Drosophila melanogaster: one gene and its partner. The gene in region 2 interacts genetically with the main gene of each other region. Each region holds a gene or a part of one and is shown on either strand. Other genes may lie near its edges.

Evidence for each region.
Region 1: of Arl6IP1 (region 2) and Drp1, changing one suppresses a phenotype caused by changing the other (phenotypic suppression), as found in Drosophila melanogaster (one study listed by BioGRID).

The regions. Positions count from the first base shown.
Region 1 is NT_033779.5:2,580,323-2,587,307, forward strand, and holds Drp1 (dynamin related protein 1), read right to left. Parts: upstream 5,109-6,985; 5' UTR 4,950-5,108; coding exon 4,848-4,949; intron 4,080-4,847; coding exon 3,935-4,079; intron 3,877-3,934; coding exon 3,212-3,876; intron 2,997-3,211; coding exon 2,545-2,996; intron 2,490-2,544; coding exon 2,144-2,489; intron 2,081-2,143; coding exon 1,852-2,080; intron 1,788-1,851; coding exon 1,576-1,787; intron 1,517-1,575; coding exon 1,460-1,516; 3' UTR 959-1,459; downstream 1-958. Other genes in the region: Arpc5 (Actin-related protein 2/3 complex, subunit 5), read left to right, coding at 47-259, 322-564.
Region 2 is NT_033777.3:16,641,708-16,646,587, reverse strand, and holds Arl6IP1 (ADP-ribosylation factor-like 6 interacting protein 1), read right to left. Parts: upstream 2,984-4,880; 5' UTR 2,704-2,983; coding exon 2,680-2,703; intron 2,571-2,679; coding exon 2,205-2,570; intron 2,041-2,204; coding exon 1,837-2,040; 3' UTR 1,417-1,836; downstream 1-1,416. Other genes in the region: CG10324 (uncharacterized protein), read left to right, coding at 1-568, 642-1,414; nonA-l (nonA-like), read right to left, coding at 4,368-4,880.

The sequences.
Region 1 (6,985 bases), on a different chromosome or scaffold from region 2:
TGATTCATATTTTTGTAGAGAAAAGTGGTGGGAATTTAGCGAAAACATGGCCAAAAACACGTCCAGCAACGCGTTCCGCAAGATCGATGTGGACCAGTACAATGAGGACAACTTCCGGGAGGATGATGGGGTGGAGAGCGCGGCAGCCGGTCCGGATGAGAGCGAGATTACGACGCTGCTGACGCAGGGAAAATCCGTGGAGGCGCTCCTGAGTGCGCTGCAGAATGCCCCGCTGCGCTGCAAGAACCAGAATGTGAAGGTGGGTAGCCACACCTATTCGTATCGAGAACCCTATAAAGCTAATCCTTCCTTGCATTGCAGGACCACGCCCTGAACATCACGCTGCGGGTGCTGCTGTCCATCAAGTCGACGCAAATGGACCAGGCCATCGACACCTTGGACCAGAACGACCTAATAGACGTGCTGATGAAGTACATATATCGGGGATTCGAGATCCCCTCGGAGGGCTCCAGTGGCCACCTGCTGCAGTGGCATGAGAAGGCCTTCGCCAAGGGAGGAGTGGGCTGCATTGTCCGCGTGCTGTCCGACACAAATCGCGCCTAGAGGAGATCAGCACAGCCAAAGGCGGTCATAGAGTCACTACCCCAACTGTTCCCTGCCCCATAAACCGATTCATACGCATCGCGGAGCATTTAATCAACACAGGATTGGAGCACTGGACACCACATCCTTATCTTCGGGATTTGCCACGCCCCAGCTGGAACCCACTTCTGTTTCTTCGCCGCAATACAAATGACGTTTTCCAAATTAGATTTTAACTGGTATCCAAGTATTAAAGTTTTTATTACGAAAGGTGAGTGGCAGTGATTTCAATCAGGGGAACGAACGTACTTCTAGTTCACTCAAGCCACACCTACATGTAACATAATTTGTAAGAAAAATTTTGTTTTTAGTAAGGCTAAGCAATTGCTACGCATCTCAAAACTCAGGAAGATTCAACTCCTATCAGATTTAAACACTTATTAATCTTCAGACTGAGCCTAGCAACTTTACGAACATAATGGCTTATCTAATCGAAATTCCAGGTGTATCATTCAACATGATGACGTTGCCTTCGTAAACTTTTAGCTGCCGTGACAGAAAACACATCTACTATGTTTGAATCAACCTTTTCTGCTTTATTTGACTATTCAATGTGTAATAAGTGCTTTGAGTAACCTAATCAAACCAATCACGGCGTCTACAACTTCTTATTAATTTAAAAAGCGGAGAGGCTCGATGATAGACAAATGCCAGGCGAATAGAAATGCGAGTTGGCTAAATGAAAGGCCCAGAATTTGGGGGTCGCATGCAATTTGATGATATTTCAGTGCTCGGTAGGGGGAACATTTAACAAAGGAGTTCGTTCTCTTTGAACGCGTCTTCAATAAATAGTTTTTATGTTGCTTATATGCGGGGATTATTAAGTCGAAACGGGTTGCTCCAATCGCTGACCAGCCTACCACATGTGGGTCTCGCGGATTTCGCTGATGATGTGATTCGCTCGCGTCAGTGCCTGAAATCAAAAGTAAGTTTAAAACGATGTCAAGCTAAGTATAAGCTAGCCAAGCGCACCTTCAGCATATCTGCCGCCTCTTTTCGGCGCACTGCAATGTGATCGGACTCGTTGAGCAGGGTTTCAGCCTTATCCGACTTATACAGATGTGTAACCAATTCGCTCTGCAAGTTGTCCTTAACGTAGTTAACCAAGAAATGCATGATGGCCTTTGGAACCGAGTCTTGTATGGATTTGCGCACAATGTAGAAATACGATTTGATCAGGTGTTCTAAAAACAAAAAGTAGTCAGATTGAGTTAGGTCTTTAAGTGGCCCGAGTTAAGTGCAACCCACCGATGACATCGCAATCCTTCTGCTCCTTGTCAGTGAGGCGACGTGGATTGTGGTTGGCCGGCACATCGGGCAGCAGATTGACCGGCTTCACTGGACTCACGATGTTATTGTGAACCGGAGTGTTGTTGGTCGAGTTCTCAATGCTGTCCGGACGCGTTGGTGCCGGCGGTAAAATGTTTGACAGCCATGTGCTGGCCATCGAAGGCGTCGAGTTCTCGGCGACGTGGTTCTAGAGAGCGAAACGAAAATGGGTTAAATAGGTTGCATACATAAATGAAGATTCCGCTGGCACCTGCTCATGCACTTGGCTATATTGCTGCTGTGAGGAATTCGGCTGCGGCGGCTGTTGCTGCTGCGGCTGCTGTGAACCAGCACTGTGCGACGAAATCTGAGGCGACATGTGGTTTCGCGGTGTATTGGCCCGCCGCTGCCCCAGATTTATCTGTGAGTAGGGATCGCTGTCCGTTTTCAGCAGACTGGGCACCAAAGCGGCATCCTTGTGGAAGTCGGGGTGCTTGGTGTTGATGTAGGCCAGCTCGATGGCCACAATGTTCTCCACCATCACGTTGGTGTGCGGCAGACGTCGACGCAGCAGCTGGGTGACCACGTCCACAATCTTCTCGTGCAGTTTGGGAAAGCTGTAGGGGAGATCGATGAAAACCTTTGGCGTTCAGCTATCATGAGTTCACATACCGCAGCATCTCCTGCTGCACTTCGTTGCCACAATGCTGAACAATGCGCTGCATCTCCTCGTGAATGAGTTCCACGCAGCGCAAGGAGGGTTCCTCCAGGCGGCGAATCTGGCGCTTCACTAGCAGTTCGAACGAGACCTCCGGAACGAACAAAGCCGGGCGTGGACCAGTGGCATTCCGGATGGCTGTCAGTATGTCCATCTTGCTCAGACCCGCCAGCGGGTGAATGGAGTCCAGGGTGCGGCCGAAGGTCTCGTGGAAAATGTAGCCCATCCGGGCACCGCCGCACAGTTCCGTGGTCTCGATATTCCTGGCCGTGCCCTCGATTGTGCAGCAGTAGGCGCTGGAGAACTTCGTGATGATCTGCAGCAGGGTCTGGCTCTTGTCGGAGACATCCTCGCCATAGGAGTTCAGCAGCGATTGGAATTGCGTGGCCATGATGTTGACGCGAGTCTGCAAGAATATGGGAAGTCATTCTCTTGAATTCAACATGCTATTCTAACCTTATCTGCCATTAATCTTCTCTTGCTTTACCATAGAAAAATATAAAGATCGATTATAATCGAGTGCCAAGTTTGTTTCATTTTTTTACATTTTCTTGAAGTTTTAGCCTGAGATTCTCGCATAGTTTGTGAAATCGATATGCAGTCTTTATAGACTAGACTCACCTTAAGATCTGGCAGGCAGTCCCGGATGTGGTGCATCAGGAGCCGGTTGAGGGTCTTGGCCAAGTAGGGCGTGCCGTTCCGGGTGGCCAGAGTGGGATACTTGCGCTGCAGGAAGGCGGCCTCGTCCTTCATCTGATCGTCGATGTGCTTTTGGTCCATGATGTCCTTCTGCGAGCGATTCATAACGCCGATGATGCCCAGCTTGACGGGAATGACCCGGCCGCACAGGATGTCGATGGCATCGGTGCCGGCATCCATGAGATCCAGTTTCGTGACCACGGCCAGAGTGCGCCGGCCATCGGGGTCCACGTCCTTGGCCAGCTTGAGTGCCTCACTGGTGGCCATGTCCGTGTTGGCGGCCGTCACAGCCAAAATGATGGAGTTCGGGTTCTCAATGTACTTGAGGACCAATTCTTTGATCTGCGCCTCGATATCCTCCGGCTGATCGCCCACCGGGACCTTGGTGATGCCGGGCAGATCCACCAGCGTTAGGTTGACCACGTGCGTTGAGAATATCTTCAGGTTGATGGGCTCCGGGCAGATGCCCTTGTTGCTGCCCGCCGCCCGCTCCGTTTCGTTTTCGATCTCCTTGCGGATCTCGTCAAAGTCCGTGAAGCACTTCTTGGTGTGCAGGAAGCGGCCCCACTCCTCGGCATTGGACGTACCTAAGTGTTATGTGGTTTAGCAATTGGGTTTTCCCGAACTTCTGACGTCTCAACTCACCATTTTCCGCCGAGCGATTCTCGCGATCATCGAGTGGGCTGTAGATCAGCTGGAGCACCAGTGGGCGACGGGTCACAATACCAGTTCCACGGGGCAGAAAGGATCGTCCCACAACGCTCTCGATCACCGAACTCTTGCCGGAGCTCTGGAAAAAAGGGGAAATGTATGTATTACTGGGAGTTAAAACGACGGCTGATAAAAGACGATGACCTGATAAGGTGGCTCCCAAGCGTTTGCAGCGAGGAAACACTTGGAAAACCGCAGATTAACTATTCTTATCTGGCAATGGGAGCCATTCTGTGATTGCAAATTTCTCAAACTTAAGCCTTTGCAACAGAAAACCAAATGAATGGTAAGAAATGGCACAGATTCAACATATTGGAGCTCCGCTGTACTCGGTATCAATGAGTTGCGCGAGCATTTAGTCATACTGACTTAATTCCAGAGCGTGAATCAAAGTGCAATTAAGCCAGCGATCGAAACATGCACACATATATGTACATACAGACACAACTATCGAAGTCACACATGTGTACGTTTGTTTTTTGCAGTGTGTTCGTGGGGGAATGTGTCACATCAGCCAGCAGCTGTTTTTTTTTTCGTTTTTGTATAATACTGTGGCATATTGATTTTCCATGGCGGCGGCGAGCAGTGCCAAAAATAATTATATAAACAATGGGGACGCCGCGAAGAGCGAAAGCTGGCTGAAATGTTGCTACAAACTGAAAACACAACTAAAATGCCGGCAAACGCACTCAGTTATATAATTTTGCGGTCACTGGAAAAGCGCAAGAGTTGGGGTTTCAGATAGCTGCGCCATATTCCGGTTCTCAGTTGCCACTCCTTTTACGGAGCTCGGGGATTTATGGTTTTCGGTGTGCGGATTTTTGGGCACCTCGCAGTTTGCATTTACCTGACTGCCTAGAACAACAATTTGGGGCAATTGGATGGAGTCGGAGCCCACGGTGTTGAAGACGTCCTGCAGCTTGTTTATGACCGGAATTAGGGCCTCCATTCTGAGTGTGTGTGTGTGCTGGGTTCCTTTGGTCGCGTTCCACTCGGCTGGCGATTAATTCGCGCACATAAAGGCCGTTCTTTTCGGCTTTTTCTGATTGACGCGAGCACCGAAATTATTTTTGCAAACCGCCAGTGTTGCACAGCAAATTTAGACTGTTTTTCTAGCGGTGTTGCCACACGGGCGGAACTTGCTGCTATCGGCAGTCCCTAGACGAGGTTGCCACCGTGCGCGAGAGTGCTGCCAATCTATTCCAAAAGGGCAGCTTTCTGTGCGCGCCAAAATTGAATTTTTGGGTGTTTCCAATTTTGCCCGTTAGTTGCGTGTATTGAATACTTTACACAAATAAAGAAAGGTATGATTTCATAACATTACTTAAAATCCCCCAATAGCTACAAAATATGAATGTCCTTTTCTTTTTGTTTTGTTTCATATTTTGCCTTTTTACTTATTTTATATGCACATGAGGAGTTTGTATTGATATGGACCAAACAAAAGGGGTCCTTACAAACCAATCTGAAAACTCACACACCACAATCTAAATCTGGCAGAATCTCAATATATTCATCGTATCTAACTAAATTGAAAAACTACACAGAGTAGGCGCATTTCTGAATACCCTTACAGACATAACAGTGAAAATGAATATATAGCATAAATATATTGTCTTTGATTTTGTCTAATTTCTGCAGAAATAAAGGACTATTTAAACGAAGAAATATTAAAGTTGGAGCAGCCGCCAAGTGGTCAGACCACGTGGCCCAAAATAGGGAAAAGGAATAATCTGGGGACCGGCCTCAAGTGCTCGAGATTTGCATGGGCGGTTGGGATGGGGACTTCCCCGGTTTTATATAAGAATTGCAGGGCAGTGAGCTGTGCCCCAAAACCAAAAAGGGGGCTACCCGACTATTTCTCGACCACACTCGATTGCCTGCCTGGCATGCATTGTGGGCGAAATGCCGGGCTCATCTGTCGTTTTTATCGGTTTATTTCAATGTTCGAGGATGCTTGTCGCCCGGTACACTAAGCATTCAAATTTCGATAGTGGCCTGGCCCAAATGGACCAGAATATTGGACGTACATATGTATGTACCACATCCATGTGCATAGAAGCCCCCACTCACGTATGCATCATGTGTCCTATTTGATAACAGTTCCCATTGTTGTTTGGCCAGCTCCTCCTGGCTGCTCCCAATTGAAAATGACAATGAAAATTGTTACAAGTTGGCTGATATCATTTTGCAATGCTCGCTTATCTCTTTAATGGCTTCCAAGCGATTTGAATATGCTTGGGATGATTTAAGATGACTTATTATTTACAATCCCATTGAAGTATCGAATTGTTTGAGTTTATTGTTCCGATCGCAGGATGGTAATATCGATTATAAGTAGTTTCAAAATTTAATCATTCCACTTCAAAATTAGTTACGCCATCCATGAAACTTTGATCATTCAAGTTTGGGATACTGACTAATCTCATTTCTTGCCCCATTATTATACATTCTGGCATTTTTCGAACTGCAAGTGGGCTTCTTTAGCATTTTCATAGATAAACTTTCGGCTTCCAATTAACAAATTTGGCTGGCAACTTTGCCAGCACACCTCTGCTGTATCTGTGTGTTTGAGTGTGTATAAATATTTCAAAATTTCCCCCATCAAATTGGCATTGTTGGACCGGGGAACTTTCGTATCTCTGGCTTGACAACTTGCCGAAATGTGCGGCGTGGAAAACTTCTTGAGTTTGAGTTGACAGTTATTGCGAAAGACGGGCGGGGGTGATGGTGATGGGGCACGCCCCCTTCTCGGGGCCGGAATATTAATTTGATAATTTCACGGCTGAATGCAAATTCGGTGTCAGGGTCCTTGGCTCTCTAATTGACTGACGAATACTTAAAATATGAATTTCAAATGAAGTTCAGCCATTGTCTGCTTTCTGGCTTTCTTTTGCCGCTTTTCGACTTGGCGCGATTAATTATGGAGTGATGATGATGATGATGGTGATGATGATGGTGTAGTTGAAGCTGGAGCAGCCTCTG
Region 2 (4,880 bases):
GAGGTCACCGCAGGCGGTCCAACGGAGAGTCTGGAACAGAGAGCAGCTCGGGAATTGATATCTGCCATCCAAAATAACGGTGCCGAAGGCCTAGATGACCAGAAACTTGTCCTGCCCGCCCTAAGCGCAGACGAACTGCCTCTCGATGGTGCCAAGGAGGCAACACTAGATGACTATGACAACATACCGATACAACAATTTGGCCTAGCCATGCTGCGCGGCATGGGCTGGGTTGATCCACCGCCAAAAAAGAAGGGCTCAGGACCCATCGATGATGCCCCCTTTCTGCGACCCAAAGGCATGGGCCTGGGAGCAGATAAGGCGCTCAAACCTAAAGCTCTACTGGTCCAGCCGGAGAAGAACGAGGTACTGGAGATTAAGAAGCAGGCGTACGTGCGCATTCTGGGCGGAAAGCAGAAGGATCAGTATGGCCAAATCCAAGGTTTTGATGACCATGCAGGGCGAGTAATTGTCAAAATGGCAATTGGAGGGGCCAAAGAGGCGTTCAACGAGTTCCTTTGTCAGCCCGTATCCCGCAAGGAGTACTCTCAGTATGGCAAGTGCATAAGTAAGTGGAGCCTGGAAAATGCAAATCCTTTATATTTGTGACATTTTTATATTTCTTTTACATTTACTTTCAGACACTGCCAAATACGAAGAATTCAAAAAAAATGAAAACGAGCATGGCCAGATTATTGTGAAGCAGGAAAATCCGTCAGGAAGAAGGGACAGAGACCGCAGGGAAGAAATTAGATCAGACCGGGATGAAGCTCAAAATCAAAAGAGTTCGAAGCCAGGGGACCAGAGATCTAGTAAAGAAGACTATCGCATGAAATGCAAGGAAGAAGATAAAAGGTCTTACAAATATGAAGACAAAAAAACGTACAAAGACGAACATCGCAGGACGTACAAAGACGAGCGAAAATCGTACAAGGAAGCCAAATCTAACAAAGAGGAGGTGGATCGAGAAAAGAAGTATGTGCGGAGTGGTAGCTCCTCTGTATCTAAACGCGAGGAACGTGAGCGTCGTCGTTCGCCGAGTCCCAGAGGCAGAAGCCCATCTAAGTCGAAGCGGGAAGACCGTGACCAAAAGCGTTCGCAAAGTCCCCGAAGCACCAGAAGAACAAAGAGTAGTTCAGACGAGGCAGACGATACGGGAGAGTCCACCGAGAGCGACTCCGACTCTGCATATGAACGCAGGAAGCACAAGAAGAAATCATCCAGCCACAAGTCAAGAAAACACTCAAAGAAGTCCAAGAACAAGTCGAGAAAGGCGGACAACGACTCCAGCTTAGAGAGCGATGACAGCCTCGGTGAAAACCATCGTCGTCACCACAGCAAGCACAAAAAGAAGACCAAGAGGAGCAAGCATGTCAGGTCCCGCACGCGATCAAGGTCAAGAGACCGTCAGTGATTGATCTATTTAGTTGAAATCTTTATTTAAATATAGTTCATTAGACGCTTAAGTTCCTTTTTTTATCTTACTTGGGATTATCATAAATTTCAATTAACTCACAAAATAATCACAAAAATGCCTTGTCTTTTGTTGCGCGTTTTTTTCTCTCTCCGTACGCCTCGTTTCGAGAATACTTCTGTCTTACATGTTACAAACTTATAGTAGGAGATGTGATGGGGCCAGAACCACGGATTTGCTAGTTTTCCGAGTTTTTTTTTTCTGTATGCGCTGCTCTTATCTTTTAAGATATTTATAGTTTCAAATTCAATGCGCCTAATGTGTGATTTAGTGATGCGATGTGTGCATAATGGCAAGTAGATGACTTAGGCATGTTTTATATTTTTGGTCAAATGGTGATGAGTTTATCTGGTTGCTTTCCTTTACTGCAGCTTCCTTTTGCCGCACTGGATCTTCTCGTTAATAATCTTCGAGGCCCTTTGGGTGATGGCCTTAAAAATGTCCTTGTTCTGTAGTCCTGGCCACATGAGGATGAGTAGGGTGGCCAAGTACATAAGCAGTAGATTGTTAATGATGGCTCCAATCCAGGCCATAGCCAAAAGACCCAAACTCATGACGATTACAAACTGGAATCAAAACGAATAAATGTGAGATGAAATAATAATAGAACCCGAAGTTTTTATTTACACTTGAGCTTGCAGAAGAAGATCTACTGCACATACTAGGCCCTGAAACTGCTTCTCTGTTTTCATATACATATACACACACGGTCTCTACCGCATCTACTCACCACTGTGGACTTCCGCTCGTTGAAGAGGTACTCGTACCAGACCACCAGGCTGCCCTTGACGGCGCACACCTGGCCGCACACGTCCTCGAACTTGGCCTCCTGGTCGCCATCCCAGTTGACTCCGCCAAAGATCAGGCGCGACACCATGGGGAATGCGTAGTTCAGCAAAATGCTAATGACACCGAGCAGCGACAGCAGGGTAATCAGCGACAAGTCCAGGTACCACAGCACCAGGTACAGGCAGCTGATGACGCCAAACACCACTCCGGCGTAGTACTGCTTCTCCCAGGTTAGCACGCCGTACGCTCCCACGATGGCTGTCCGGAAAGGCTCCAAGTCGTGCTTTAATTTGTTAAGTGCTCGTTTCTGGAAAATGCCGGAAAATGAGGAATCATTATGATATTAACTAATGGGGCTTCAATGGCGACGCCGTTTTCCGGCCGGAAAGCTTTCGGCAGTTCCACCCTTCGCTCACCTGGTCAACCTGCGATGCTGCCATGCTGGCTTTTCTTTGTTTCCTAGCGGTGCGCGTTCAATTCCGAGAAATCTATTTGATGCCCAAAGGTGTTGCTTTCGGTTTGAGCGAAAAATCAATTTTCTTGGGTGTTTTTTAAGTCGCCAAAGTCGCAGTGTGACCGTTGATCGACGTTTTGAAATGACTGATTCAGGGGTTGTTTCACTCAAACAGCGATTGCACTTTCAATCGGAACTTATCGAATTTTTCCCTTTACAACTCTGTTTTAAAAGTTTGTATTAAAAATCTTGTATTGATTTGGCTAAAATCTGATGCTAAATTCTAATGCCACCTGACATTTGGGCTTACATTTTTGTTTAAAATCTTGACAGCATCCTATCATAAAATATTGATTTACTATATCATGATTTTTATAAGCAGAACTAAAAGCCCATAAATGGCTTAATAAAATAAATACATAAATCAAAAATTAAATTGCCGTACTATTCAATTCGAAACTACAAAAATGGAAAGCAAAGCATCATTTTGGCTTTTGCTAGTTAATCAAGCAAATCAACAGCGGCTTACTTAGATAATGAACTCAAAGCCACCACATCTTGTATTATATGCAGATAAAATGTTGTAAATATAGATCTTAAATTCTTATATCAATGGCACGGAATAGCTTTAGTTTATTGCTAAAAATTTACTTCAAAAGAAATTTGTACTTAACTATCATGAACTTTAACGAAGCTACAAAAAAATATATATATATACATATATACGTTTGGACAAAATGAAGAGTTTCCATCTGTTTCCATCTCGAGGAAATTCAAATTGATGGTTATACCACGGGTAATTGAACTGAAATCTTTGATTGCTTCGGTACAATACAATTGTGTAATTGTTGGGTGAATGGGAGGAGGGTTCATACAATAGTTCATTCTGTTGATCAAATAAATTCTTTTGTTTAAACAAGTGATTGCATTTTGACCTAATATATGGACAGCGTCGTGGGACTGAAGATACCGGCGGAAATGTGTCCTTTCGGACAGCCTTGCAACTTATTGCCGGATTTCCCAATAGAGCTGATGGCATTTTCCGACTTTTCCGCTTTAACACATTTATTACCAACATAAATTCCCAGTGAAACCTTAGGTTAGAGCCGTTTTTATTAAAAGTAGACAGAGATGGGATGAGAAATACATTGAAATAAAAGCAAGTCCGATTTCGATTATTTACTCATAAATCAAAGTATAATCTACGATTATAAAAATTAGGCTCTTTATCTATATTCGACTCCAAATAATCAGTAATTTCAGTCGCATTCAATATTTAATTTGAATGATAGACAAAAATTAATCGTGTTAGGAGGTAGTCTCTACATATATCTAATGGATGATGGATGGTTATGTTCAGGTGTTTTTCTTCGAAATACTGCACATCTTGTAAGTTGCCATTCGTGTTTGGATTTTGTCATTTTTGTGTTAATATTTCGTGGTGGATTTGTTGTTGAGACCGTTTTTAACAGTTTTTGGTTAATTATATAAATTCAATTTATATTATAATGAGATGAATGCATCTTCGCTTGCATGATCCCATTTGTTATTTATGTTATTGTTCACGCATAGCCGAGCGAAATGTCCGATATTATGCGTAACTAATGAGATCACTATTGTTTTCGTCGCTATCTATATAGGTTTCAGTGTCTAGAAGCGTCGGTGTCCCCATGAATCAATGTGTCCGTGTTGGTTTCCGTCGCTATTATCTGGACCTCCAGGTCCAGCCATTGTTGAATTGTTGCTGTTGTTCCCAAATACTTCAAAAGGGGAATCAAAGTGTTCGAATCCAGAGTTGCTGCCTCCGAATCCCTCCTGCTGATCGAGGATCATGTTGAGTTTCTTGGCCTGCATTAGCAAATCGTTCTCCTGCTGACGGGCTCGCATATCCTCCTCATGGCGAAGTAATTGGTTTTGATAACGATGCATGTATTCCTCTTCCCGCTTTCGAATCTCCTCGGCTTGTTTCTCACGCATCTCCCACTCCAGTTTCATGCGCTCGTTGTCCAGCTCGCGCTTCTTCAGCTCCTGGCGCAGCAGTTCGGTCTCCTGTTCGTAGCGAGCGTACTCCATCTGGGCCTCCAGCTTGTCCTCCTCCATTTTCAACTCACGCTTGAGTGAGTCCTGTTTGCTCTTGAAGAGATCGTGCAATTGCTTCCAGCG